Oryctolagus cuniculus: one gene and its partners. The protein of the gene in region 6 interacts with the protein of the main gene of each other region in a pairwise test. Links are inferred from orthologs where the notes say so. Each region holds a gene or a part of one and is shown on either strand. Other genes may lie near its edges. The genes, in order: ASB7, SH2D4A, ABITRAM, WT1, AEBP2, HMBOX1 and BYSL.

The links.
Region 1: the proteins of HMBOX1 (region 6) and ASB7 interact in binary tests that used the Homo sapiens proteins (3 or more experiments, as listed by UniProt). The two-hybrid records come from large-scale screens. The link is inferred for Oryctolagus cuniculus from reciprocal best matches to the Homo sapiens genes HMBOX1 and ASB7.
Region 2: the proteins of HMBOX1 (region 6) and SH2D4A interact in binary tests that used the Homo sapiens proteins (3 or more experiments, as listed by UniProt). The two-hybrid records come from large-scale screens. The link is inferred for Oryctolagus cuniculus from reciprocal best matches to the Homo sapiens genes HMBOX1 and SH2D4A.
Region 3: the proteins of HMBOX1 (region 6) and ABITRAM interact in binary tests that used the Homo sapiens proteins (3 or more experiments, as listed by UniProt). The two-hybrid records come from large-scale screens. The link is inferred for Oryctolagus cuniculus from reciprocal best matches to the Homo sapiens genes HMBOX1 and ABITRAM.
Region 4: the proteins of HMBOX1 (region 6) and WT1 interact in binary tests that used the Homo sapiens proteins (3 or more experiments, as listed by UniProt). The link is inferred for Oryctolagus cuniculus from reciprocal best matches to the Homo sapiens genes HMBOX1 and WT1.
Region 5: the proteins of HMBOX1 (region 6) and AEBP2 interact in binary tests that used the Homo sapiens proteins (3 or more experiments, as listed by UniProt). The two-hybrid records come from large-scale screens. The link is inferred for Oryctolagus cuniculus from reciprocal best matches to the Homo sapiens genes HMBOX1 and AEBP2.
Region 7: the proteins of HMBOX1 (region 6) and BYSL interact in binary tests that used the Homo sapiens proteins (3 or more experiments, as listed by UniProt). The two-hybrid records come from large-scale screens. The link is inferred for Oryctolagus cuniculus from reciprocal best matches to the Homo sapiens genes HMBOX1 and BYSL.

Annotation. Positions count from the first base shown.
Region 1 is NC_091443.1:9,960,455-9,964,735, reverse strand, and holds part of ASB7 (ankyrin repeat and SOCS box protein 7), read right to left. Parts: intron 2,090-4,281; coding exon 1,484-2,089; intron 1-1,483. UniProt on the Homo sapiens protein: Probable substrate-recognition component of a SCF-like ECS (Elongin-Cullin-SOCS-box protein) E3 ubiquitin-protein ligase complex which mediates the ubiquitination and subsequent proteasomal degradation of target proteins.
Region 2 is NC_091439.1:3,448,182-3,452,462, reverse strand, and holds part of SH2D4A (SH2 domain-containing protein 4A), read left to right. Parts: intron 1-2,059; coding exon 2,060-2,190; intron 2,191-4,281. UniProt on the Homo sapiens protein: Inhibits estrogen-induced cell proliferation by competing with PLCG for binding to ESR1, blocking the effect of estrogen on PLCG and repressing estrogen-induced proliferation. May play a role in T-cell development and function.
Region 3 is NC_091432.1:212,644,753-212,648,186, reverse strand, and holds the end of ABITRAM (protein Abitram), read right to left. Parts: intron 2,812-3,434; coding exon 2,735-2,811; intron 2,657-2,734; coding exon 2,587-2,656; intron 2,221-2,586; coding exon 2,083-2,220; 3' UTR 835-2,082; downstream 1-834. UniProt on the Homo sapiens protein: Actin-binding protein that regulates actin polymerization, filopodia dynamics and increases the branching of proximal dendrites of developing neurons.
Region 4 is NC_091432.1:33,515,915-33,520,195, reverse strand, and holds part of WT1 (Wilms tumor protein), read right to left. Parts: exon of another isoform or gene 2,504-4,281; coding exon of another isoform or gene 2,494-2,503; intron 2,437-2,493; exon of another isoform or gene 2,206-2,436; intron 824-2,205; coding exon 701-823; intron 294-700; coding exon 191-293; intron 118-190; exon of another isoform or gene 1-117. UniProt on the Homo sapiens protein: Transcription factor that plays an important role in cellular development and cell survival. Recognizes and binds to the DNA sequence 5'-GCG(T/G)GGGCG-3'. Regulates the expression of numerous target genes, including EPO.
Region 5 is NC_091440.1:117,170,924-117,175,204, reverse strand, and holds part of AEBP2 (zinc finger protein AEBP2), read right to left. Parts: coding exon of another isoform or gene 4,251-4,281; exon of another isoform or gene 2,766-4,250; intron 1,196-2,765; coding exon 940-1,195; 3' UTR 1-939. UniProt on the Homo sapiens protein: Acts as an accessory subunit for the core Polycomb repressive complex 2 (PRC2), which mediates histone H3K27 (H3K27me3) trimethylation on chromatin leading to transcriptional repression of the affected target gene.
Region 6 is NC_091433.1:45,104,810-45,109,090, forward strand, and holds part of HMBOX1 (homeobox-containing protein 1), read right to left. Parts: intron 1,204-4,281; coding exon 727-1,203; intron 1-726. UniProt on the Homo sapiens protein: Binds directly to 5'-TTAGGG-3' repeats in telomeric DNA. Associates with the telomerase complex at sites of active telomere processing and positively regulates telomere elongation.
Region 7 is NC_091436.1:127,973,673-127,977,353, reverse strand, and holds the end of BYSL (bystin), read left to right. Parts: intron 1-1,257; coding exon 1,258-1,418; intron 1,419-1,592; coding exon 1,593-1,695; intron 1,696-2,168; coding exon 2,169-2,514; 3' UTR 2,515-2,839; downstream 2,840-3,681. UniProt on the Homo sapiens protein: Required for processing of 20S pre-rRNA precursor and biogenesis of 40S ribosomal subunits. May be required for trophinin-dependent regulation of cell adhesion during implantation of human embryos.

The DNA of each region.
Region 1 (4,281 bases), on a different chromosome or scaffold from region 6:
CTGTAAGACGGACGCAGCTGCTGTCCCAACTTGAGGATGGACACTGAGGCACAGAGGACTCAGGGCCCCGGCCCGAGGTCACAGCCGACACGGGCAGAGCCAGGCTGCAGATTCCCTTGGGCCAGCTCTGGCCTACGCCACTGGCCACAGCGGGGCCGAGGCACCATGTGCGTGTAGAACGCGCCTTCCCCAGGGCAGCCACACAGCTTTACCAGGGAGTCTGCGGTGGACGTTAAAATGACGACAACAACAAGACTGGAGGTAGCCGGCAGCCCCCGTCACAACATCGCCTGCCCCGGGCCTCTCCCCAGGCGGGCGGATCTGTGCTGACCTGCAAGGGGTCATGAGCGTCTGTGGCCATTTGCGTGTGACTTGGTCACAATTAGGTAACGATTAAAATGGCAGCTCCTCAATGGCACTGGCCGCCTGACAGGTTCCAACTGCAAGAGGCTAGTGGCTGGCAGGGCAGTGATCATTCCCACCAACCCAGGAAGTTTTCTTGGCTACAACGGAGTTAGGGCTCAGTGATTTTTTTTTTTAAGTGCTTGAGTCTGAATATATTTATGATATTTCCTTCATCTTATCCCCCATGACAAATGCATAAAATCCAAATTGCATTTCATTACTTTGCTTCACACCAAAGTTCAGCTCCCAGGGGGAGAGAGGGTTACTCACAAGCAAGCCAAACAAATGCCTTGCCCCCCAGCGCCTGGCACCCAGAACGCCAATATTTCTTCTTCTACAAGGTTGCAGAAAGCTCAAAGTCGATGGCAGCAAAGGGGATTCATTAAAAACGCAGCAGAGTAAAATCAATTTGGTTACAGATTAGGCTTCGTGTTGGGTGCTAACCTCTGGGACAGGCACTCGACCGGTTGGCCACGGGGAAGCTTGCTGAGGTGGTGGCTGAGCCCACGGAAGCCAGACCCCCAGAAAACACCCTGCACACACAAGCTACCGCACGGGGCGGGCCAGCCTCTTCCAGGCTCTGAACCACAGTGCCACGCAGGCGGAGCTCGGATGTGACAGAAACTGCGCGGCCCAGGTCTCCCTGGAGCCCGGCGTCCCTCGGAGAGCGGGAGTCCCTCACCACAATCTCTGACCCCTGCACCTATGCTATGCGGGCACCCACGCAAGTAACACGGCTGTGTTCCACGTCACGTGGGTGCACAGGAAGCAAAAAAGCCAAGCACTCACCGTGAAAGCACAGCGTCCTGGAATCTCAAGTCCCAAACTGCCCCCACCTCTCCCAGGCTGGCACCCACTCTGCCCTCCTCTCCGTCTCCACCCTCTCCGTCCAGCCCCACTGACTCCACTGTGAGACAGGACCGTAGAAGGCAAGCTGTGGCTGCATGAGGCGTTACTCGCCAGGCAGGGACGCTGCGTGATTAACGTCTGGTCATTTTACGTCAGCAGTTACGTGAAGGCCCTGAGAAGACTCAAACTCAAACAACGCAATAATAGTAATAAGAACAACATTACGTACTTGTGACTTCTTGTAAGAAATCCAGACACGGCCGGCTACTTCCAGAGATGCTTACTGAGACAGCCAGTGGGGTCTGCCCCTCGTAGTTCCTTGTGTTCGTGTCCGCTCCGTAATTATACAACATCCGTGCACACAGCACATCGTCCCTGAGGGCGGACAAGTGCAGAGGGGTCTGGCCGTCCTCTAAGCGCCCCAAGTTTGTGTCTGCCCCTCTCTGGAGGAACATGCGGCAGTAGGAGTGATTGCTCTTGATCACGGCGTAGCGCAGCAGGAAGCCGTTCTGGATGTCGATGTTGGCATTGTGGTCCAGCAGGATCTTCACGCAGCTGGACCGCTCGCGGATAATGGCGAGCTGGAGCGGCGTCGTGCCTTTATCGCTGAGCGGGTCGACCTCGGCCTTGAACTCCAGTAGGAGCCGGACAAACGAGTCCCTCCCGTAGTGGGCAGCCACGTGGAGGGGAGTCCAGCCGTCGTTGCTTTTGGCATTAATGATGTCGCTCCTGTATTCAGACTCCAACATCAGGCGTGCAATCCGGGCCCGGCCATGCATGGCTGCATAATGAAGAGCGGTGAAGCCTCCGATTAAGTCCTTCACTGTGGGGTCGGCTGGAGTTGAAACCAAAGCGAGACGTTAGCGGACCTCGGCCGAGAGCACACCCTCCAGGGCGCAGCACGCTGGTGCCCCGGCTCACACACATGCGGAGACCCAACACCACCAGGAGGCAGCAAGTACGATTCTCCCCCCACCCCCGGCTTTACCAAGCGCTAATTTTCCCAGAAAATAAACCTGAGCAGAAAAGTGACCCAGCCTGGGCCAACGGAGGGAGACTTAGCAAGTATTTCAACAGGCAGACGAAGAACAGAGTCCAGCTCCCCACCACCACTTCCCCCTTCTTGGCTCGCTGAACCACAGCCTGGGGCACAGCCACCCTCCACCCCCTACCCTGTGTCTGTGTTGTTTCGTATGTCTCTCCTGTTCGGTTTTGGTTTTATTTTCTCCTGTGCTTCTTCTTGGTCTTAAAAGAGAAGTGTGTGTCGCAACACCCGCTGCTCCAAATGACGACGTACTGCGTCTGGCAGGCCGACTGTCTCAGGGCACGTTAGGTAAAAATACTAATTGTCAGCGGCTTTCCGTGGTCTGTGGAAAGCCCAAGGCATGTAAGGTTGTAGTGAAATGACCTGGATAACGCGTGTTCTCACCACAGAAAAGCCTAGTCTGGACTCTTGGTTTTTCATGAACTTTATCGTTCATCAGAATTGAGAAGGACAGTATGTGACAAACTCGGAGAAACCCCAGCACCGTACACATTTTTCTAAAAGTTTCCAAAAACCGGCACTCAACTGCTACTGGGGAGAAGCTGTTATCTGACCCTTGCAGCGCGTTCCTCCGTCACCTGCCTCAGCTCCTCCACCGAGCCACAGGCCAGTGCTCTGCGGCTTCCGTCCCACTGACTTCTCTGGGCAATGGCAGAACAAGAGAGTTTTGTGTCTTTTCCTTCAAAGCCATGATTCAATGGCTAAGACAAACTGTTCAGACCTAACTAAGATCAGAACGCTTTCTTCTTATACACTGCCCTTAATTGCTGGTCTGTTTACAGAAGAGAGAAAATAATGTTTTTCACATGTTAAATGACTCCAAAGTTATGGGTGTAAACATTCATGTATTATTTGATAAAATATCACTTAGTTCTGCAACAGAGAACAGCCGGATGCTCTCCCGGGAATCGATGGGGCAGAGAAACTGTAAAACAGGAATAATACCAAAACAGTGCACATTTCAGGTAAGAAGGAGCTGTTAATAAAACATACAAAAGCAAGTTACATTTGTGTAGGTTTCCAAAATCATTTAGTATAGAGAAAGGACACAGAGGTAGTTCTACTTTTATCTATTTAGAGAAAATGAGGCTGTCCTGTCGCCCTTGGTCTTAAAGGAAAGAAAATCAAACTGTAACTATTCCCCACAAAGCTTAAAAAAAAAAAAAAAAAAAAGCAAGAACATTTTGCCATGGCACTCTGCTGCCACCTACTGGTAAAGCATACATATGCGCTACTCCTGCCACTGATCACAGAGCTCTGGTCCCGGGGACCTGCTGCACCTGCCTCACTCACCAGGCTGGGGCTAGGTGTGGACCGGCAGGGTTTTTAGGGGATCACCTCTATCCTAACGAAACAATAAACTGTCCTAGTGTCGATTCCAATCTCTACCTGCCCAGCCACTGCTTCCACGTGCTCTCTCTTAACCTATACTCCAGCCTTTCACCCTCCAAGGGTGCCTTTAGGGTGCCAGGCACCACCCTGTCTGCAGCCTGCACTCCTGACAATAACATCAAAGTTCCGTTACAGCAGATCCCGCTTGCCCCTCTGCTCCCCACTCAGGACTTAAGAACTTCGCTGCCCCCTGAGCTGAGGACGCTCACAGCCTGACACGGCAGTGACCTGCTTCCTAAAGCCACTGCACTGAGAGCACCCGGGGACACAGCACAGAACGAGGAGCTGGGGGGTGCAGGGCAGCGCTAACAGAACGGGAGATGCAAGGCAGAACTGAAGGACTATTATCAGCCAATGCAATAAGACAAGAAAACGAGTTCACTTGGGAAAGCAACAGAAACCTCAAAACACCTGCGTATTAAGAAATGTGCCAGGCACCCATGGAGAAAACCTTGCTGAGGGAGCTAACTGAACTCCCCCAAAACACAACCCCGGCCACTTCGATAACTTCTTCCCTTCCCTTTAGCAAACGCTTCCCCCCAGGCAGGGCTTATTCTAAACAAGCGGCAGGTAATCTCAACAAACCCATT
Region 2 (4,281 bases), on a different chromosome or scaffold from region 6:
AGTGGACAGTGAGAGAGAGAGACAGAGAGAAAAGTCTTCCTTTTTTGCCATTGGTTCACCCTCCAATGGCCGCTGCAGCCGGCGCACCGCAGCCGGCGCACCGTGCTGATCCGAAGGCAGGAGCCAGGTGCTTCTCCTGGTCTCCCATGGGGTGCAGGGCACAAGCACTTGGGCCATCCTCCACTGCCTTCCCAGGGCACAGCAGAGAGCTGGACTGGAAGAGGGGCAACCGGGACAGAATCCGGCGCCCTGACCAGGACTAGAACCTGGTGTGCCGGCGCCGCAAGGCGGAGGATTAGCCTAGTGAGCCGCGGCACCAGCCATCACTTTTTTTTTTTTTTTAAGATTTTATTTATTTATTTGAAAGTTACAGACAGTGAGAGGGAGAGACATAGAAGTCTTCCGTCTGTTGGTTCACTTCCTAAATGGCAACAATGGCTGGAGCTGGGCCAATCTGTAGCCAGGAGCTTCTTTCAGGGTCTCCCATGCGGGTGCAGGGGTCCAAGGACTTGGGCCATCTTCTACTGCCTTCCCAGGCCATAGCAGAGAGCTGGATCAGAAGAGGAGCAGCTGGGACTAGAACCAGCGCCCATAGGGGATGCCGGCGTCGCAGGTGGAGGATTAACCTACTGCGCCACAGCACCGGCCCCTCTTTGTCACCTTTGAGTTCTGCTTAGAGTTAGTGAGCCAGGAGGAGGCCTGGGGAATGGGTTTCTGACATCACAGCGCTTCTTTTTGTAGAGGAAATCCCCTCAACATCCCAGAACTGAAATTCTGCTACTGAATTTATCTCAGAGTGATCTTCTCTGCTGTCCCAGTCTTCAGTCTCTGAGGCCATCTTGTAGCAGAACAAACCCTCTTCACAGTGTGGGGGAGAAGGCAAGGCAGCGAGGTTAGAGGGGGCAGAGAAAGGAGAGGCCATTTGTGAACAGGTTAGGAAAGAATTTATCTTTCCCCACTTACTGTGTTTGCAAGTGTATGTTCTCTAGGAAAATAGTGCTGGGGTGTGTTTTACCTGCTAATGCGTGTTTTCTCACATTGTAACTGCGAGTCAGTGGTGCTTCTAATTTACATTAGAAATAAAGTCAGACCTCATTGTTAGCATAGCAGTACCCCATAGCCGCCACCAGCCCCTTGGGTGGAAGGACAAGAGACAGATTTGCGTCCCTTTCTGCACATGGGTGCAGGGGCCCAAGCACTTGGGCCATCTTCTGCTGCTTTCCCAGACCATAGCAGAGAGCTGGATCAGAAGTAGAGCAGCCGGGACTCAAACCAGTGCCCAGCTTTCTGCTCTTGAGGAGTTATTTGTATAGTGGTGGGGTGCAGGGGGTGTGACTGCCCATAGCTCAGACCGTGGAATTTGATATTGAAATACATGTGGCCGGCGCCACGGCTCACTAGGCTAATCCTCCACCTAGCGGCACCGGCACACAGGGTTCTAGTCCCGGTGGCCCCTCTTCCAGGCCAGCTCTCTGCTGTGGCCAGGGAGTGCAGTGGAGGATGGCCCAAGTGCTTGGGCCCTGCACCCCATGGGAGACCAGGATAAGTACCTGGCTCCTGCCATCAGATCAGCGCAGTGCGCCGGCCGCAGCGCGCCGGCCGCGGTGGCCATTGGAGGGTGAACCAAAGGCAAAGGAAGACTTTTCTCTCTGTCTCTCTCTCTCTCACTGTCCACTCTGCCTGTCAAAAAAAAAAACAAAAAAAAAAACAACGAAATATATGTAATTCTCTGTCCCTCGGGCACATGTGCACACACACAAACACACACACACAGTTTCTTCAGAAAGTTCATTGAAAGAGGAATTAAAAGATAATGTTTATTTTGGTGCAGTTTTTGAAGTCTGTATTTGCAAGAGGGTCTGCAAAAAGCTCATGAAAAATGCATGTGCTGTGAAAAAAACTGTGGATTTCATCTTATGTGCAGCAAAAGAAAGCTACGTTTAAATCCCATTTTTCTGTGGATTTTTGGAAGTCACCTTGTGTGTGGGTGTGGGTGTGGGTGTGTGGCTGGTTTTCCAGTGAGCTCACTCTCTCTCACAAACCTTCTCAACGATGCCAGGACTCAGGGAGTGACCAGGACGGCCTCCAGCTCCGCCCAGGAGGACATCATCCGGTGGTTTAAAGAGGAGCAGCTGCCCTTCCGAGCGGGGCTCCAGAAAACCTCGGATGCCATCGCCCCCTGGTTCCACGGTGAGTTCCGAGGCCCCCGGGAAGGAGGGGGAATCAAAGCCCCCTTTCACTGGTGCTGCCGGGGGAGTCTTTGAAAGCATCCCCACAAGGGAGTTCTTCAAAGGCTGCTGAGGGCGTCGCATTCTTGTGGCTGTTTAGGAAGCAGCCGGCATGCCCGGTGCCTGGGAGCGAGCGTGCGGGCGTGCGTGCACTGCCGGTTAATTTGGCTCCACCAGCAGAACGCCCCAGGGCCAGTGGGAAGCGCTCTGCTTCCTGTGGCCTGCCCGGGAGGCAGCTGGCTGTGGTGGACAGGCCCTGGGTCAGGCCAGGGGTCAGGCCAGGGGTCGGGCAGTGGACCCCACCTCCTCTCCTGCAAGCAGCCGGTGACCCTGAGCTCGTCATCTCCTTTGCTGTAGCAGACCCGTGCGGCTGAGCCTCACTGCCTTCCTGTGTTCTGAGGAAGAGGTGGGCTTTGTGGTCCAATCTTCTGGCGTGTGGTGAAGACCCCAGCGGGTGGTACTGCATGCTGGGCAGGTGTCGGCTAATAAACCGTGTCTGTAATTGACTCACGGAGCGTGCAGCCCCGAAGCCCCCCGTCTGCAGGCTCGGGTCTCGCTCACCACCACTGCTGGGGTGTCAGGAAGGGTCCCTGCTTCCTTGTCTCTGTGGCTTCCCTGAGCCCTGTGGTCAGCCTGCTGACCTGGCCGTGTGCACGACACAGAGATGACCATGACAGTGACAGAGTTCTCTCCAGGAGCCTGCTTGCACTGGAGCATCTTGGTTTAAATGCTGGCTGAGGCATCTCTTCTTTAGGCCGTATCACCTCATACATTTGATTAGCCGTTCGTCACTGCAGCGGAACATCTGAGACGGTAACGTCACAACACAGGGTTGTTTGGGCTCTTGATTCTGGAGCTTTCCTGTGCAATGTCGGTGAGCCCCCTGGGCCCGGCTGCTGGCGGCGGTGGTCTTTCTGAAGAGTCCACAGCATCTGACAGCAGGGGACAAGCAGGTGTCTCTGTTTCTTCTCCTCCTCCTCCTTCTTCTTTTATTTATTTGAAAAGCAGAGTTACAGAAAAAGAGGGAGAGACAGAGAGAGAGATCTTCCATCTGCTGGTTCACTCCCCAAATGGCCACAAGAGCCAGGCCTGGGCCAGGCTGAAGCCAGGATCCAGGAGCTTCTTCTGGGTCTCCTACGTGGCGGCAGGGGCCCAAGCACTTGGGCCATCCTCTGTTGTTTTTCTCAGCAACATTAGCAGGGAGCTGGCTGGGAAGTGGAGCAGCCGGGACATGAACAGGTTCCGATATGGATGCTGGCGTCCCAGGTGCCAGCTTCACCTGCTGTACCACAGCGCCAGCACCCTCTATCTCTTCTTAAAAAGCCACCACACTCTGGTCACCCCAACAGCCTCATCCACGCCAGTCACTCCCAGAGACACCATGTCTGAGCACCATAATTATGTCAAGCTCCCTCCCTCTTAATAGTGTTAACAGAGACTTCCAGGGCCAGACCTGTAACACAGGGACCTCTGTGTTACATGGCGGGTGTAGGGCGACAGTCAGCGTCCAAACGTATACACAGACTCAGGCACAAACCACAGCACACGTGAGAAACAGGCTCCTGACACGAGCTCACGTCTTCCGAGAACGGAATTTTCCGTGGCAGGCTTTCTCCTCGAGGGCTGCTTTCGCTGTCGGAATGTTCCAGCGTCCCCTTGGAGACAGCGTCCCTCGGTGATCGAGGCCTTGGTCAGTGTCCGCTCCCAGGGAGCAGGTGGCAGCACCTCCCTTCTGTTTCTGCTTTGGAGGCATTGGGAGGAGCAGTGACAGCAGCGTCAGAGGCGTGGAGAGGAGGGCGGCCGTGCTGTGCTCTCGGCTCGCTCCTTGGCAAGGATGAGCGCTGGGGAAATGAGCCGCTCGTAGCTGCCGTATGTGAGGCAGGAGCTGCTGCCATCCCTCATGACCAGGGCCGTGGTTTCCTCCCAGCAGGGAGCACGAAATTGAAAGTATCAGCTGATGCCGGCGCTGTGGTGTAGCAAGTAAAGCTGCCGCCTGCAGTGCCAGCATCCCATATAGGTTCTGGTTCGAGTCCCGGCTGCTCCACTTCTGATC
Region 3 (3,434 bases), on a different chromosome or scaffold from region 6:
AAATTTTATTTAAAAGATGTTGTTAGCCGGCGCCGCAGCTCACTAGGCTAATCCTCCGCCTTGCGGCGCCGGCACCCTGGGTTCTAGTCCCGGTCAGGGCGCCGGATTCTGTCCCAGTTGCCCCTCTTCCAGGCCAGCTCTCTGCTGTGGCCCGGGAAGGCAGTGGAGGATGGCCCAAGTGCTTGGGCCCTGCACCCCATGGGAGACCAGGAGGGGCACCTGGCTCCTGCCTTCGGATCAGCGTGGTGCACCGGCCACAGCGCGCCAGCCGTGGCGGCCATTGGAGGGTGAACCAACGGCAAAGGAAGACCTTTCTCTCTGTCTCTCTCACTGTCCACTCTGCCTGTCAAAAAAAAAAAAAAAAAAAAATTAAAAGATGCTGTTACAGGCCGGCGCCACGGCTCACTAGGCTAATCCTCCACCTGCAGTGCCGGCACCCCGGATTCTAGTCCCGGATGGGGCACCAGTTCTGTCCCGGTTGCTCCTCTTCCGGTCCAGTTCTCTGCTGTGGCCCGGGAATGTAGTGGAGGATGGCTCAAGTGCTTGGGCCTTGCACCCGCATGGGAGACCAGGAGGAAGCACCTGGCTCCTGGCTTTGGATTGGCGCAGCGCGCCACCCATAACAGCCATTTGTGGGGTGGATCAATGGAAGGAAGACCTCTCTGTCTCTCTCTAACTCTGTCTGTCCAAAAAAAAAAAAAAAAAAAAAGATGCAGTTACATACTTCAGTAGGTGTGGGGAGGGGGTAATATTTGACTTCAACAGCGTAAGAGGATAGAAACTGTAAAAAACACAGCTGTTTAAATATATGTAGTCTAAGGAAAAAGTGACATGTTTTCTTAATGTCCTTTATTTGGAATTCATTGTAAATCAGTATCCAATTTTAAGCCATAAATTGAGTTAGTTTGTTTCTTTTTAAGGATGTAGAAGTCTTTGTTGTGTTCAAAGGCAGAAGCTTGTTAGTTACCCAGTCACCAGAGTGACCTTGGTTGACTACAATGTATCCACTATGAGAACCAACTTAAGTTGCCTTATTTTCCATTTGTTAAGGCAGAATTTGGTATTTTTCAAAGATGTGTTCCTCATTTAGTTAATAGGTGTGAGGAGGACAAAAGGTACACTCTACACTCCAGCCTCTTCCTGTAACTTACAAACAGGCGGGGGCCAGCTCTCTGCTGTGGCCAGGGAGTGCAGTGGAGGATGGCCCAAGTACTTGGGCCCTGCACCCCATGGGAGACCAGGATAAGTACCTGGCTCCTGCCATCGGATCAGCGCGGTGCGCTGGCTGCAGCGCGCCAGCCGCGGCCGCCATTGGAGGGTGAACCAATGGCAAAAGGAAGACCTTTCTCTCTGTCTCTCTCTCTCACTGTCCACTCTGCCTGCCAAAACAAAAACAAAAACAAACAAAAACAAAAAAAACAAAACAAAAAAACAAAAAAACAGGCAGGACAAGACTTTGTGTCACACTCAAGCAGGGTGAAGAAAGGTCATTTAGGTTTTTGAAAAAACTTCAAACTGATAGAAAATTGAAGTAAAAACAACAGCCATGCCATAATGTTCAAACAATAGAAGTATGTCAAAATACAGTATTTACTTCCATTTAATACGATGAGGATGAATAAATCAGTTACTTAAAATTTCTCCATGTTTGCCAAATTTTACCCAAAGAGGGGTGTGTGTGTGTGTGTGTGTGTGTGTGTGTGTGAGAGAGAGAGAGAGAGAGAGAGAGAGAGAGAGAGAGACGGAGAGGGAGGGAGAGAAAGAATGAATCAAAATGCATCCCCTGCTTGAGAGAGAGAGAGAGAGAGAGAGAGAGGGAGAGAAAGAATGAATCAAAATGCATCCCCTGCTTGCTTGTTTACTTGGAAGCAAGGGAACAGGGTGAGGGTGAAGACAAGTGGGAGCCAAAGCTTATCAGGCAAGACAGAGGGAAAACTAGGTTAAGTGAAGGCTTAGGGCTCTTCTGCTGATGGCTGGGGGAGAAATGTGCTTCACACATTATGCTGCGTCTCCTTGAGGGCACTGATGGTTTAGGCCAGGTAAGGCTAAGAATCCCATGTTGCTCTGGCTCCATTGCAGTCCTCATGATGTAGCTGTAGTAGCATCAGCGCGTTTCAGCACAACTTCTTCATACTGTTTTTGTGTCAGTAAGCCTTCTGTTATGCTTTTGCTTTCTTCAAATTTGGGTAACACAACTGCAATGTAACCTTCAGTAGATGGCTGGAAAGGAAATAGAATATTTAGTACTGGCAAATATATCAGGGGGGTGGGGTGGGGTGGGGTGCGTATTTGGCACAGCAGTTAAGCTGCTGTTTGGGGGGAGGGGCTGTGCTCAGGTCCCAGCTCTGCTCTCAATTCTAGCCCTCTGAGGAAGTGGGTAATGGCTCAGTGGGTGATGGCTCCCATCCATATGGGAGACCCAGACTGAATTCCAGCTCCTGGCTTCAGGCATCTGGAGAGTGAACTAGTGAATGGGAAATCTCTCTTTCTCTGCCTTTCAAATATACTAATGAATAAAAATTCAAAAACGGTTTAAAAATCCCTTAAAAGATACAGGGATGAGATCATATATTTTTCCTCTTTTACCTTTTCTTGAAGAATAGATGGCTCATGGAGAATGTTTTCATTCACTTCCATCAACCGTCCCCTCACACAGCTATTAAAAACAGAATTATTTGTATGAAAAATATTATCTGCTTTGTCTCTCCTAAATGATGGTGAAAAAGTTACTCACCTAGATATGGTATATTCTTCTCCATCTGAGCAGTAAATCTTACACAGAGGTGCGAATTCTGTTAGAAACTGCGCCCCCTGTGTGATGGAAGGGAAGAAGTGAGGAATTGATGGACATTTCTCCAGCTTCCCTAGAGAAGCAGCCCACAGTGCTGCCAGTATATCTGGGCCAGCATTGTGGTAGCTGGGATAAGCTGCCACTTGGGATGCTGGCATCACTAATATGCTCTTAAAATTGTCTGTGGTGTGAAACCCTCTTTCAATAAAATGTCATCTTGCCTGGACCTGTGGAGATACCATGTTTCATAACTGAGGACTGTGAGGAGGTAGAAGGTGGTGTGGGTAACTGTGTATTAGACTGGCAATGCAAATACTGTATGTTTTCTCAGGTTGACATATTTTCCTACTCTGTCCAGATTTTTTCCTTTTAATTTACATGTGAAAAATATGGTAAAGAAGACATGGTCACCTAAATTTTATAGAGCTCAAGACACTGGTTTAATAAACTAGAAGGGACAAAATACCTTGTTGATGTTAGAGGTGTCTGTTAAAAGGCCCGCATTCCCCCTCCTCCATCCTGGAGATAAGCGAGAGAGTGGCCCACAACCTAATATGACAGATGTAACTCCTGAAATATCCAATCTTTCTGGTCTGAGAATCTCTTTAGGGTTCAAGGATACATAAAACCAGCGAATCAAAGT
Region 4 (4,281 bases), on a different chromosome or scaffold from region 6:
AGCAATTACTCCCATTTATATTCCAAATGAGAACGAGCTGTGCTTTCATTTGCAGTGGCCAGGTGGGATAAAGGCGTCCTGTGCCTCCAAGACTTTGCAGGCCTGGCTGCCCCGCGTGGGACGTTTCCACGCCCACTGGCTCGCGCGCCCGCCTCTATGGCCCCAGACGCGGTGCCCCAGGGCTTCCTACCTGCTGTAGGGCGTCCTAAGCAGCAGGGCCTGGCTGCCGGTGCAGCTGTCGGTGGGCGTGTGGCAGCCGTAGACCGGAGGCGGCACGGAGTACTGCTGCTCGCCTGCCGAAAGAGCAAGGGTAACAGTCAGCGCGACTCCCCCGAAGGCTCAGAAAAGAAAGCCTGGGGAGATGGGGACGCGGAGGCCAGGGTGCGGGGCATGCAAGAGCGGGGCTGTCGTTCCCAAAGAGCTGGGCGCGTCACAGTCCCTGCGGGGCGCACAGGGACTGCAATTCCCTTGGGAATTGGCTGCAATGCGCTTTCTACTCCATGGGATGAGAGACTCGATGCGATGGGAGGAGACTCAATTTGTTTTTTTCTTTAAGATATTAGAGTGGAAATGTGCTAATTATTTCGAAGGTTCCTTTAGATGTCCTCTGCTCCCTTCCCCAGTTGGCTGGGGGTTGGACATTTCTGAGTGGGAAGGGGACTTGCACGGAAGAAGACCCGCGTGGTTCCCGCCCGCTTACCCAGCGAGCCCTGCTGGCCCATGGGGTCCTCGTGCTTGAAGGAGTGATTGGGGAACTGCGCCGCGTGGTGCGAGGGCGTGTGGCCGTAGCTGGGCGTCCCGTCGAAGGTGACCGTGCTGTATCCTGCGGGAGCGGCAAAGAGACACACAACACAGTGTCAGCGGGGCTCTCCGGAGACAGAGCCCCTGGATGTGAGCCAGACTCTGGGCGTGGGGTGGTGCTGACCCCCACGCATTCAGATCCCCAGCGGAGGCTGATCCCACCCCACGCGTCCCCCGGGACTTTCTCGGCGGGCAGCCAGACCCAAGCCTCAGGACATGGCGTGGGGACGGGCTCCCCATCCTCTGCCCACTAAAACCCTGGTCTCCCCCGCCTTTTCCCAATTTATGTACACCTCGGTCTTGCACAGCGGCGTCTGCCGCTTCTGCCCCGAACCTCCCGCAAGTTAAGTGTAAAACCCGTCGCCCGCCCCGCCGGAGAAAGTAATTCTCCCCCCAAAACAAACACCGCGGCTCTCGCGCAGGGCCAGCGCGGGCGAGCGAAATGAATCTGTTCCGCTGACCCCGCGCTGACTCCGAGCTGTAAATCAGGGGCCTGCGCACCAACTTTCATTAATTACTCCGAGCCAGCGAAACGGCCTGCGCTTTCCATAGAGAGAGTAATTACCGAGTAACGTTATCTGTCTGGGGCTGCACCACCCGACACCCTCGGCTAAGCGGTGAGGGGGAGAGGAGGGGGCACTCCCCTGCGCCCCCTCCCCCACCGCCTCCGACCACCTGGGGCTCCCAGGGACCGGCGCTGACCACTGCTTCGGTGGTCAGCTACCTTGCTCCACGGAACAGAAAACGGATTTCTTTTTGGAAGTGTTTGATACCGTGTCTCCTTTTCCCTCCACGGCAGCATTAGGGGCCCTCTGCCTCAGTTTCCCTGCCGAGAAATCCAGGGCAACATCTTCCCCGAGAGTGAGATAAGAAATAAGGTGGCTCGGTTGGAATACGTCGCTTATGATTATCGTTATTAAATCGCTTTAAACATTTCCCCCGCCAGGTTATATTGGAAGCTGTGGCCGCCTCTGCGGACAACGCATCCTCTGGCTAAAGATAAGCTCTGAACCCAAAAGGTGCTGGTTCCTGAGATCCACGCGGAGTGGCAAACGGAAGAGCAGCCGGATGCGGACATCCGCTCCCGCAGGGCCACCACCAGTTCCTTCGAGGGTCTCCAAACCCCACGGAATTCTCGGGCGTGAAGTGCGGGAAATGGAACCCAGGCCCCCTACTCTTGCCCGGGTAGGATCAAGGGTTAGCAACAAGTGTCCCCGAAGTCCGGCAAGACGGCGCAACGAAGCCGTTACCACCGCCGCAAGAACAGAAGACGCGCGTCCACCTGCAACTCGGGGAAAAAGGGAAGCTCAACCCGACTGTGCAGTGTCAAGGGGCGGGAGCTGGGGGGCGGGAGCAGCCGGTAATTGCTCGCTCCGTACCAGTCGGGCGCTAAGTCTCACGCACCTTCTGCGTGACCCCACGGGGCCTCCACTTCTGGCCTGCCAAGTAGTCCGAGATAGCCTCCGTCCCGTTAGCTCCTAGTCGTGGGTGAGCACGCTGGGGCCCCCAGGGGCTTCCTTCTGGGGTCGGAGGCTTAGCCCTGTGTAAGGCCTAACAATCAGTTTACAAACGAAATTTGGCTGCGGGCAACCAACATTGGCCAGTGGGTTAGTCGAATTTCTAAAATACCATTTAAAAAAGAAAAAAAAGGGGAGAAGAAATAGAAGTGACCCAAAAAAATCCTAGACAAACCCTTCTCCATTTCTGAGCCGATGAGCAGGCAGTGACCAGGGGCACCGCACGGTTCCGGGAGACTGGCGCCGCAATCGTCAGCACGAAGCGAGCGCTGTGGTTTCCGTGGCGGCTCCCGCGCTGGCTGCGTTGGCTCCGCGCCCCAAAACTCTGGCCCAGGGATGTCTGTGCCTACCCGCCCCCTCCCGGACAGGACACGCAGGCCTCTGTAGGTAGGAGCTGTCCTCGAACCCCTCCCTTGGGTCTCCCGAGACAGGTGGTGATGAAAGCGCCTGCTGAACGGGTAAGGGCTCTTTTAATTAGAAGCTTATCAGACGCCGGACTGATTAGAGAACGCCATCCCTGGGTCCCGCGCTAGGCCTGTAGCGGAGGGGGCGGAGGCGGAGGACCTGGAGGCGAGGCGGGGGGATGTGGGGGTGGGTTGGCAGCTGCGGGCGGGAAGGAGCCCTGTGTTCAAAGGCTCCTTGCACAGGCCTTGGAACACGAAGCCCTAGCGGCCAAGGTAGCGCCTTTCCCACGGTTTCTCCGGGTCCGGGAGGGGAGCACAACCTTGACCGCGCAGAGAGGCAAGACAAGCTCTGAGCCTTCCTCCCCCGCCCGCGGCTGCGGAGGAGCCCGGGAATCCCGGGGAAGCGAGGGATGGGATGGGCAGCAGGCTCTGCCCGGAAGGTGCTGAGAAGTCTGAAAACCACGACTTTGCAGCTGCAGTGGAATCTGAGAAAATCTGTCCGCCAAGGAAATCCCTTGTCCCAAGTGAGGGGAGGGTGTTGGGAGAGGGCTGCTTTTGGCCCTCAGAGGACACTGGTCTCTCCACCTGACCCAAAGGTGGCCTGTGATCCCGAGGCCTGGTCTGCTAGGGCTCTGCAGGCCAAAGGGCTTAGGGGATCAGCAAAAGTCTGGCAAGCAAGCTCTCACCCCTTCCTGAAAAGCCAGCATTCAGTCTGGGGATACCTCAGGCCTCACCCTACTTATGCCCTAGCAAACCTCAGCCAGGCAGAGGAAACCCTTTTCCACAGTGGGGCCAAGATCCCTGGAGGAGGAGGTAGACCCAGCCTGGAGTGCTCTGAGTCAGAGCCCAGCTCTGCCACAAACGGAGACCTCTTGCAACCCTCATCTCTTGGAGCCTCCATTCCCTCATCCAAAAACAAAGGTCTCCTTAAGTGTCAGGCTGTGAGCTTCTCACAAAGGTTTTAGAGACCATTAATTGTCTTACCATTCAGTCCCCAGTGCCTGGCACTGAGTAGGCATTTGATGTCTGCTAAATTAATATTTACAGTGGGATGCCAGTTGTATTTCAGAAGCAGAGGGTGAGGAGAATGAACAGGCTTGTGAAGCTTTGTGGGGAAGGGGGAGATGTGTGAGTGGGCATCAGCGATTGTCCCTGTCTTGGGCCATGCCTGGACTGCCCTGCCCGAGGATAGGTATCCAAAGACAGCCTCCATTTCTGGCCCCTGGCGTTTGGCCTTGGCAAGTTATGACCATTCTCTGGAACAGCCCTTGAGTCCCCTAGCCCCAAGCATTGGGCCAAGTCCTGCTTTCTAAGGGAGCTGCAAGAACCCAGGGAAATCAAAAGAATACATGTGGACTCTGGAGGCACTAAGGGCCTTCCCTTTTTGGCCATTCAGATAGGCTCACATCTCACTGCAGCTCTCAGCTGCCAAGGGACCCCCAAGGGCTGGGCCTGCTCAACCCATTTCTGTTTTGTTTGGGAGAGAAAAATCTAAGCTGGCAGACTTGGGGCCATCTCCCCATCTGGCTTTCCCCCTGGGAAGGATAGGCAGATGCAGT
Region 5 (4,281 bases), on a different chromosome or scaffold from region 6:
GCTATGGAATCTCCCTCAGAAAACCCAATGCTTTTCTAAAAAATCTCCCAAATGTAATAAATTTTAGACAAACAGAAGACTTTTCAGCGACCCAAATACAGAATATGTTTGAAGCAGTTTTAACAGAAACATATAAATATGGCAAGCTTCATATCAAATTTTTAAGGTTTTTTAAAATGTAGGTTTTCCATAACCAAAGCATACAAGTATTGAAGAAAGTCAGGGTAGGTAGGCAGTGGCCAGTCTCTGAGATCAAAACATTCAAATAAAAAAACCAAATACTCTGTACTTTCTCCAAAGAGTGTTATTTTAAACTATTATGTATAACAAATATAATCAAGGTTTTTTTATTTAGAGACAGGTTCCACCCAATAAAAGTATTTTTAGTGAAATTAACCAAAATGATTATAACTTAATATATGAACTATGTGTAACAGTGATACACTCTTTACACTGAGACTCTTTAGACAAACTGAAGCCAAGTTCCCTTTATACAGAACATTATAACCTTTTTCATGTTTTCTTGCTACAATTCTTCAAAATAACTTATTGTAAAAAATCTGCATGGGAATTCCTGGCAAAACCCATTGAAAGCAAGTCCGTTCTGATTTTCAGATAAGCAGAACCACATGCAACATGACTCGGGAATTAATAAAGCTTGGTAATTTTTTCAAATTTTGAAGATAAAAAATTTGAATATAGTATTTCATGACTACATTTTTAAGGCATCTTGGTATTCATAATAACTAGAGATGAAAAAATACTCTAACCTTTAATTAAATATGAAAACTTGGCACTTATTAAAAACTGCAGTGTTAAAACTGCAAAATGTCCTAACAAGTCAAAAGATTCCTTAAGAATTAAAAAGGGGCCGGCGCTGTGGCGCAGCTGGTAAAAAAGTCAACGCTTGCAGTGCCGTTGTCCCATATGGGCGCCAGTTCAAATCTTCGCAGCTCCAATTCCGATCCAGCTCTCTGCTATGGCCTGGGAAATCAGTGGAAGATGGCCCAGGTCCCTGGGCCCCTGCACCCGTGTGGGAGACCAGAAGCAGCCCCTGACAAGGAAGAAGCTCCCTGCCTCCTGATGTGCGCAGCTCCAACCCTTGCGACCAATTAGGGAGTGAACCAGCCGATAGAAGAACTCTCTCTCTCTGCTTCTCCTCTGTGTAACTCTGATTTTCAAGCAAATAATAAATCTTAAAAAAAAAAAAGGTTTTCAATCAGAATCCCCAAAATTTACTTCTCTGAAAAAATCTGTTTTGAATGACATATCAATTCCCTTTTCACAAATATATACATATATATATATATATATATCTTTGTAGTCTTAACTTCACACATTGTTACACAACTGTCAGTTTTCTATATTAAGAATGTACATAAACTATGATTTCTGTGTGCCTTTTTGGAAAACTGATGCAAAGGTAGTAAAGATATTTTTAAAGCTATACTAAACAGAAAATATACCCATCTAGTATTTTAAATCACTAATATTTTCCCATTTTTATGTTTCATTTAAAAATAAGAAATTAGACATCTCTTAAAAGAATTCAAAGAGCAAACAAAAGATGTTTCAAACAATTGTGGCAAAATCTATGTTCTTAAGAGGATTCTACATACTTAAAACATTTTGTTAATGTGTAAAAGGGAAAAAACACTTTACATTCAAAGGATTGCAAACATGATTATCAATGCTTTTAATGAATGAAACAGGATTTTAAAACATGCATTGACAGTTAATCACTGTCAATTGTAATTTCATCTAAAATCTGGAAGTAATGTGTTCTACTTTAGGGAAAATTCATATATGAAAATGTTTATTAGAAAAATAAACAACTTTAAATTTTACAATATTTTCCACTTCAATATTCTTTTAGATAAAGCAGATGCGTCTTATGGTTCAAACATATCTGATTTTCATATTTAGTCCTACTTTGTAAAACAAAATACGAAAATACAAATGGTGAAAGAGTAGACTATTAACACCTATTAAGAAATCCAATGTAAAATGTTTTCCAAAAAGATCATTTGTTGTAGATACTTTAAAAAGCAGTATTTACTAAAAGTCTATCCGTTTTCACTGAAATTTACTGTACTGTCATGTCACCAAGATAAGTACCACTGCATCAAAATCCAAGGTGTGTGGTCTAAGTCCATTTTTTCAAAAAAATTTTACTAGTTAGACCAAGCACCAGTGAACTTTTCCTTAAGACCAGAGAGTAACTATTTTAGGGTTGTGGACCTTAAGGGCTTGCTATTCACTTCTGGCTTTGCAGGGAGAAGGCTGTCACAGATAACACATGGAAGAACACTTATTCAGGAAGGCTGCAGTTTAACTAGCAACTGACTACACGAGGACTTGGAAAAGGGATAGATTACTACAGGCATCACATTTGGGAGTAGAAGGAACAATAAAAATGGGTAGAGATTTAATACATGATTACACGAGTTAAGATTTTCACTTATTTCCCAATCATAATTGGAATACGTGTATATATGTATACATATATAAAACAACCTCATTTTAAGTATTCATTCTTTTTGGTATGACAGTAATACTATTAAAGTAAAGTCAGATAAGCAGAAAACCATCATGAATGATAACATAATCAGCAGGTCATCAATAACCAGGAAATTTGGTTTTGACACCTAAGTATTTCTACACAATGGAAAAAAACTAATTTATTCTCTGTGTCCCTAAAGAATATTAGCTGTATATTTTCAGATGTAATTTTAAAATTTAATTGAATTGTTACAATTTGAAGCTAAATGCAATTTGTTTGTTTTATTAGAAAAAATACTCAAGCAAGGTCTACAATCATCGGTCAATTAAAAATGACTTACAAGAACATGAGGCAATAAAATAAAAATACAGGTACAAACTATATATCTGAAACACTTCTATTTGGCAATGTTATAACAAATCAAAACTTAAAAAGAACAAAGGAGATCGCAGATTACTTCGCAGATACAGAATAAAGCAACTGATGAAGTGCTTAAGCAAAAGAAAACAAAAAAGTAAGAAAACACACTGCTTTTCTTTTCAAAAATAAATCACATTTGCTACAGATGGTATGGATAATACCCTTATTAAACAACCATTCCAGAATGTCTTATAGCAGTGCTTTTTATTTGCACTTCATTTACTTTTATATGACTCATTTCACATATATAGCTCTTTACCCTCCCATAATTTTTATTTATTTTTTATTTTTTAAAGCAAATGAGAAATGACTTAAGTATCATGGAACCTTTCCCATTTTGGAACCAAAGGCTTACTTCTATATTTTTGTCTACTCTTTTAAAAAATTTAGTGTAAAAACTGCTGGTTTTTATATCATTGTAGTAAAGTGAAAGCTCCTTAATCAGGAGTATTTTCTGCAGTTTGACTGCATATAACCACAAACTTTACAATATGTCCTTCCAACAGCAAGGAAATAATGGATTTCACGGTCACTGTCAGAAATGAGTGCCATAATTCTATTATGGGTGTAGGTCCTCCCTCAAAGACGTTCTGGAAGGATGTTCAATGTGTTTTGTTCTTATAGATATTAACAGTAGTACATAGTCCCTTAAGTCTGCAAAAGACATTTATTGTTAAAGAAGGTGCTTTATTAACAATTCCTCTGGCAGCACTAGTGAATTACAATATCCTTCAATATTATTTCTACCATAATATATACATTTAACTTTCATGCCTCTAGAAAAACATCTACAGTACATTTCATAATATAAAAATATATTACAAATCTGCTGAATTATTTACAAGCAATGTTCTATTATCTCTATGCAACATTTGTCTCATACAATACTAACAAGTTACACATATTTCCATTTCTGTAAGTAAAAAACAAAAATCCATATGGCTTCTTGCTTAGCAAGCAAGAAAATGATTTTATTTCCTTTTCAAAACCAACTTTGGTGCATAAAAGATTCAGTTTGAAGATACTTTAAAAAAAATACAATTTTTCTTATATTGATAAAAACAACTCAAAAACCAAACTGCTCTCCTCAGGAAAAAAATTAGTCATATAGGTTAAATGAAAATACAAAGACTATTCAAATAATTTGAAATAGAGGTTTTTCAAAAACCGTTAACAGATGAATTATATAGGTAAATATTAACATACTGTACTCCAAGAGGAAACCCTAGTCCTGAAAAGGGAGCCAACATACATACTGCAACACTCTGTAACAGTAATTTTCAGCCCTAATTCGATAGACGAATTTTTAGTTGATTGCAAATGTCCTTCACTGTTTGCTTAAATACAAATTGAACACT
Region 6 (4,281 bases):
AGCAGTGGAGGATGGCCCAACTCCTTGGGCCCCTGTACCCATGTAAGAGACCTGAAAGAAGCTCCTGGCTCCTGGCTTCGAATTTTCTCAGCTCTGGCTGCTGCAGCCAATTGGGGAGTGAACCAGCAGATAGAAGACCTCTCTCCCTCCCTCCCTCTCTCCCACCCTCCATCTCTCTCTCTCTCTAGCTCTCCTTCTCTGACTTTCAAATAAATAAATAAATCTCTAAAATGAAAACACAAAATTTTGACCGGTGCCATGGCTCACTTGGTTAATCCTCTGCCTGTGGCACCGGCACCCTGGGTTCTAGTTCCGGTTGGGGCGCCGGGTACTAGTCCCAGTTGCTCCTCTTCCAGTCAAGCTCTCTGCTGTGGCCTGGGAGGGCAACGGAGGATGACCCAGGGCTTGGGTCCCTGCACCTGCATGGGAGACCGGGAGGAAGCACCCAGCTCCTGACTTTGGATCGGCGCAGCGCTGGCCGTAGCAGCCATTAGGGGAGTGAACCAACAGAAGGAACACCTTTCTCTCTGTCTCTCTCTCACTGTCTATAACTCTACCTATCAAAAAAAACCCACAAAATTTTAAGAAATATTTTTCATCTCAAAAGAAGGGCAGGAAAAAAAAATCAGAAGTCTTACAGCTAAGTAACTTAAATATAGCTTATTATTTAACAACAATTTAAGAACACAGACATTTTTAGGGGTCTCAACAAGCAAAGTAACTTACCTCATTAACTCCTCTACTTTATCATCTACATCTAAGTCCTCTTCTGAGGCTTCAAAACTGTATGACCTCTGACCCATGCTGTTTGCATGGTAGCGAGTTGGTGACATCTTTCCATTGGATGTGGACAATCGCTCATTATTTTCCCTCCCATTTTGATTGGTAGTACAAGGCTGAGGGGAGGTATCATAACTGTTGCTGGGTGAAGGGGACATTCCCGAATGCTGAGTCTGTGTGGAAGCTGTAGCTGTAGAAGAAGATGCCGGAACATTGTTGGTACTGTTCCCGTATGTACTTCCTCCATAGCTGGACCTTCTTCCAAACTTGTCACTATGCTCTTGATCAAGACGGTCTAAAGTTTCCAAAGCATGGAGAATTTCATGTTTAGTCATCCCAGTACGCCGAAGGCGCTGAAGCAGATCTATCTGCTCTATGGTAAATCTGGGTTCATCTGTATAGTGAGACATGGTTTCCAGCAAACTAAAAAAAAAAAAAAAAGAAAGAAAAATAAGTATCTTTATCGACAATATTTATCAAGGCATATGTCATTATGAAGAATGCAGTATTTCTACATTAACTTGTTTTCTTTTCTACATCTACTTCTTAATTAAAAGCAGCAAAACATGGGGCCAGAGTTGTATGTTATAGTGAAGCAGGTAAAGCTGCCACCTGTGACACCAGCAACCCATATGGACACCGGTTCATGTCCCAGCTGCTCTATTTCCAAACCAGCTCCCTGTTTATGCCCTGGGAAAAGCAGCAGAAGACGGCCCAACTGCTTGGGCTCCTGCCACCCACATGGGAGACCCAGAAGAAGCTCCTGACTCCTGTTCTGGCTGTAGTAGCCATCTGTGGAGTGAACCAACAGATGGAAGATCTCTCTCTGCCCCCCCACCAACCCTCTCTCTTTGACTTTCAAATAAATAAATCAATATTTTTAAAAAACAAGTTGTAAAGGGCCAGTGCTGGGATACAGTGGGCTGAGGCCCCAGTTTGCAGGGCTGGCATTCCATATGGGCGCCAGTATGACTCCTGGCTGCTCCATTTCCGATCCAACCCCCTGCTAGTGCACCTGGGAAAACAGCGGAGGATGGCCCAAGTCCTTGGGCCTGTGCACCCATATGGGAAAACTAGAAGAAGCTCCTGGCTTTGGATTGGCTCAGCTCTAGCCACTGTGGCAATTTGGGAAATGAAGCAGTGGATAAAAGACACCCCCCCCTCTCTCTTTCTCTAACTCTGTCTTTCAAATAAGTGAAATAAAGCTTTAAAAATAAAATAGTAAGATATGTCCCACATCAGAATGTTTTTGCCATGGCAAATGGATTGTTACAGGTATTGAGTTGATTAGCAGGTGAAAACTAAAAATAACAAAACTCATTTTTTTCTTTTTTTTTTTTTTTATATTTCTTTATTTTACTTGAAAGTCAGAGTTACACAGAGAGAGAAGAAAGGCAGAGAGAGAGAGGTCTTCCATCTGCTGGTTCACTCCCCGATTGGCCTCAATGGCCGGAGCTGCACTGATCTGAAGCCAGGAGTCTTGTCCGGGTCTCCCACGCAGGTGCAGGGGCCCAGGTACTTGGGCCATCTTCTTCCGCTTCCCCAGGACATAGCAGAGAGCTGGATAGGAAGTGGAGTAGCCAGGACTCAAACCAGCACCCATATGGGATGCTGGCACTGTAGGCAGTGGCATCACCCGCTAGGCCAAAGTGCTGGCCCCAAAACTCAATTTCATATGGCATACAATATACATTTTCCTCAATTCTGGTAAGCATTCTGAAAAAATTTTAGTTACGACAATAATACCAAACAATAGATGTAGATTAAGTACATATAGATCATTAAGCCCAGGCTATGTGATAACTAACAGGTCTTTGTTTTTTCCATTTTCAATATGTTATTTTTCATTAGAGTATTAATGAAAAGTTGCTGACCAAATATCTGCAAAGTAAAACTGAGAACTCTATGTATAACTTCACTTAGTGAAAACAAATGATTTGCTAAGCAAATACTTATAAGCAGTAAAATTATTTAAGTGGAAAATAAAAGAGGTTTATAAAAAAACTTATTAAGTACGATTCATCCACTACTTAGCAATTTCATCAGTTTTTCATTTCTGTAATGCATTCTCTCTTAATCCTGAAAAATGGATCTTCTACGGTAGCAGCCAAACCAAGCCATTTATTTTTCTTAAGAAATTGCTTCTATGTTTTCTCTACTTAAGACAAGATATTGCAGCACACCAGAAAATATTTTCTTAGAGTGAGTAACAAACATATTAAGAGTTGTCAAATATAAAAATTCTCACTAGTTGAATTTTCTATGAAATCTGATTTTTTTTTATATTAAAGATATTTGAAAGTGGTAATCTCTTCTATTTTAATTTTTATTGTTCTAGCACCAAACAGGATGGATGGCATGCAGTAGCCTGTTAATAAGTTTGCTGATGGAGCACATGTCAAGGAATTTTCTATTCCTTTACAGGTAACTGTCAATTTGGGGCCAGTTCCTATAAGCTATTGCAGACCTCATTGTCCACTGTCTCTTTAGCCCTCTTCAGGGGGTGGGAAATGTCTGGCCCACAGGTTGTATAAGGCTTGGGAAATCATTTGTTCTGGCCCTGCCAAGGAAACGGCAGGAGAAACTCAAAGTTCAGTAATTTCTGTAATTACTATAATTACAGTAAATCTATAGCAGGCTAATTTTTAGGTTCATGATTTTATATGGCCCATGAATGATACTGTAAATATCCAATTGACCCCTTGGCAGAAAAAAAAGATTCCTTATGCTTATATACTGTACTAAAAATTTACTGAACCTTCACTTCTAGGGAAGAACTTGATAAAGAGTTTCTTAAAATGTAATCTCATCTAATTCTAATAGCAACCCTCTGTGGTAGCTATTATTTATTTTATTTCATTTCATATTGATAGGTAGATGAACTGCTAAAGAAATATAGGCTCAGGGGCCGGCACTGTGGCTCAATAGGCTAATCCTCCGCCTTGCGGCGCCGGCACCCTGGGTTCTAGTCCCGGTTGGGGCGCCGGATTCTGTCCCAGTTGCCCCTCTTCCAGGCCAGCTCTCTGCTGTGGCCCGAGAGGGCAGTGGAGGATGGCCCAAATGCTTAGGCCCTGCACTCGCATGGGAGACCAGGGAGCACCTGGCTCCTGGCTTCGGATCAGCGCGGTGCGCTGGCCACAGCAGCCATTGGAGGGTGAACCAACAGAAAAGGAAGACCTTTCTCTCTCTCTCTTACTGTCCACTCTGCCTGTCAAAACAAAACAAAACAAAACAAAACAAAACAAAACAAAAAAAACACAAAAAACAAAAAACACCATAGGCTCAGAATAGTTATGTCCTTGCAAAAAGTCTAAGAAATAGAAAAAAAGATTTAAGCCTAGATTTTATTGACTCCTAAAGCTTACATCATTCTGCTTTCCAATATTGTGGGAATTACTGGAATCATGAGATCTGGACATAGGCTGTTATATTCCTTTAAAGGAGTTTCCAGTTAATATAATTTAGTTGAAACAACTGGTAGTAGTAACATCTTTGTTCCAT
Region 7 (3,681 bases), on a different chromosome or scaffold from region 6:
GAGTGCAGTGGAGGATGGCCCAGGTGCTTGGGCCCTGCACCCCATGGGAGACCAGGAAAAGCACCTGGATCCTGGCTCCTGCCATCGGATCAGCGCGGTGCGCCGGCTGCAGCGGCGGCCATTGGAGGGTGAACCAACGGCAAAGGAAGACCTTTCTCTCTCTGTCTCTCTCTCTCACTGTCCACTCTGCCTGTCAAAAAAAAAAAAAAAAAAAAAATGTAAAAAAGAAAATCTCTTTCCTACACCATTCATAGTAAGAGATAGATATAGATATCTCCCCCCCCCCCCCCCCGAAAGGCAGAAAGAAACAGACTCAGATCTCCCATCTACTGGTTCACTCAAAATGCCTGCAAAAGCTGAGGCTGGGCAAGCTAAAGCCAAGAGCTAGGAACTCAGTCTGGGTCTTGTACATGAGTGACAGGGACTCAACTACATGCGTTATCACCTGTTGCTTCCCAGGAGCAGAACCAGGACTGGAATCCAGATACTCCCATGTGGAATATAGGCAACCAGGTGGCTTTTTTCTTTTTTCTTTTCTTTTTTTTTTCTTCTTCTTTTTGAGAGACAGAGTTACAGAGAGGTCCTCCATCTACTCCCCATATAGCTACAATGACTGTAGCTGAGCTGGTTTGGAGCCAGGAGCTTCTTCCAGGTCTCCCACATGGGTGCAGGGGTACAAGCACTTGGGCCATCCTCCACTGCTTTCCCAGGCCACAGCAGAGAGCTGGATCGGAAGTGGAGCAGCTGGGATATGACCCGGCGTCCATGTTGGATGCTGGAGCCCCAAGCAGAGTCTTAGCCTCCTGTACCACAATGCCAGCCCCCATGTGGCATCTTAACTGCTATGCCAAGTACCTGACCCCCAAATGATGTTTATTTTTAAATATCTTTTTATTGGAAAGGCAGAGTTAGAGAGAGAGCTTGATGTTGTATCTGTTGGCTCACTCTCTGGATGGCCTCAATGATCAGGGTTGGGCCAGGCTGGAGCAAGGAGCCTGGAACTCATCCAGGTTTCCCCACATAGATGAAAGGGGCCCAAGCACTTGAGCCATCTTCCATTGTTTTCCCAGGCACAACAGCAGGGAGCTGGATCGGAAAGGGAGCAGCTGGGACTTGAATTGGCCCTCAAATGAGATATAGATATTGCTGGCAGTGGCTTAATCCACTGTGCCATAATAGCAGCCTCCACCCAGTGATATTTAAAGGGGTAAGTCCAGACCTATCATGTGACTTGGGGACTTCCCCTCACCCCACTAGGATTTTTGCTTCTAACCTGAAAGAACGCATGGCCCAGCGCTTCTACAACCTCGTCCTGCTCCCCCGCATACGAGATGACATCGCTGAATACAAACGACTCAACTTCCATTTGTACATGGCGCTCAAGAAGGCCTTGTTCAAGCCTGGAGCCTGGTTCAAAGGTGGGCACCCAGAGGCAAGGAAGGAGCGAGGGGCTGGAGCGCCTGCAGGTGAAAGCTGACCTGTTGCGGGAAGTGGGTGTCTCTAGTGCTGGCCCCTGGGGCTGGTGCGGGGGTTTCCTGGTGTACCTTCCTCTCACCCTGGGCTGGGAGTGACTACCCTCTGCCTGTCTCCAGGGATCCTGATCCCCCTGTGCGAGTCAGGCACTTGTACTCTCCGGGAAGCCATCATCGTGGGCAGCATCATCACCAAGTGCTCTATCCCTGTGCTGCACTCCAGGTAGTGTTGGTGGGGCTCGAGGAGGACTGCGCAGTGCACAGAGTGGGGTGGCCAGGACTTGGGGAGAGGGTAGCGACAGGAAAGAGTAGAACAGCTGTGGATTTGTGGCTGGTTGAAGCAGTGGGTGTGTCATTGCTTCACTAGAATGTAAGTTCCACTAGAAGAGGATCCCAGCACCTGGCATATGGCAGGTGCCCAGTAAATAGTGGAATGAGTAGGGCACACAGGGAGGAAGTGAGGTGGGGGTGCAGATGTCAGCATGTTTGGACATTCTAGTTGGATCCTGGGACAAGTGTCTAAGCCAGAGGTAGAGGTGGTAACTGCAGTCAAAAAAGGATGAAGTTGGGTAGGTGAGGAGGCCTGAGATGGCCCCCTTGGGAACACCATTGTTAAGGGCCAGCAGAGGGGAGAACCAGGCTCCCTCCTCCAGCGTTTCCCCATGGATTAACCCTACCACGCCACCCCTTCCCCAGCGCGGCCATGCTGAAAATCGCCGAGATGGAATACAGTGGTGCCAACAGCATCTTCCTACGACTGCTGCTGGATAAGAAGTACGCACTGCCCTACCGCGTGCTGGATGCCCTGGTCTTCCACTTCCTGGGGTTCCGGACAGAGAAGCGGGAGCTGCCCGTGCTCTGGCACCAGTGCCTGCTGACATTGGTCCAGCGCTACAAGGCAGATTTGGCCACAGAACAGAAAGAAGCCCTCATGGAACTGCTCCGGCTGCAGCCCCACCCACAGCTCTCCCCCGAAATCAGGCGGGAGCTTCAGAGTGCAGTCCCTCGTGACGTAGAAGATGTCCCCATCACCATGGAGTGAGGAAGACGGTCACCTGTCCTGGTCCAGTGGGCATGGGAGGACACCAGGTCCCCTGGGTGACTGAAGATGACACTGAGCTTTTTATGCCTGAAGACCAGGGCAGTGACAAGGTCACAGGGCATCTGTGGCTCCCAGGCCGGGCAGGGTGGCCTGAGAGTCTGTTTGGCTCCCTCCTCTCTTCTAGGCCTTCGTCCCTGCTCCCTTGGTGAGCTGATGTGATCCACAGCCCAGCATTCCCACTCCCCAGCTGGGGCTTGGTTTAAGCACACCTTCTCCGCCTGTTTTATCAAGTCACTGGGAAAAACAAAGACGGGTATTTATTGAACCTGCGTTCTGCTGCAGTTGATGAAGGTCTTTCTCCTTCTCTGTGGCTGGAGGTGGGAATTTCCTCTTCCCTGTTGTTGTCTCGGGAGTGGGATCTTTACTCAGTTTACACAGCAGCCGACCTTAACCTCCCAAGTGCTTCTCCAGGCTGCGTGCCTCCAGTAGCCCCCAGGGGCACATGCTCTGCCTTCCCCTTGAACGAATGACACTGTTTAGTTAGTTGGGTAGAAGGCCAGCCATGGGGTTGTTCAGAAAGTAGTGGTTTCTGGGCCATGGATGGAACAACTACAGAGGGGAGATGGGTCTGCAGATGAGGTGGGATCAGCACCAGATAGATTCCCTTCCTAGGTTTTAAGCCAATCAAAGCTTTAGGCCAAGGGCTGGTATTGTGACACCAGCATCCCACACTGGAATACCAGTTTCAGTCCTGTCTGCTCCACTTCCAGTCCAGCTCCCAGCCAATGTACCTGGGAAGGCAGCAGAAGATGGGCCCTTGCTACCCATGTGGGAGGCCTGGATGGAGTTCCAGGCTCCTGGTTTTGGCCTGGCCCAGCCTTGGCTGTTGTGCCTATTGAAGTGAACCAGTGGATTGAAGATCTCTCTCTCTGTTTGATGCCCTTTCAAATAATCTTAAAAAAAAATATTTTATTTGAAAGGCACAGTTACAGAGAAGGAGGGAGAAGCAGAGGCAGAGAGAGATCTTCCATCTGCTGGTTCACTCCCCAAATGGCCACAAAGGCCAGAGCTGGGCCAATCTGAACCCAGGAGCCAGGAGCTTCTTCCGGGGCTCCCACAGCACTTGGGTCATCTGCTGCTGCTTTCCCAGGCCACAGCAGAGAGCTG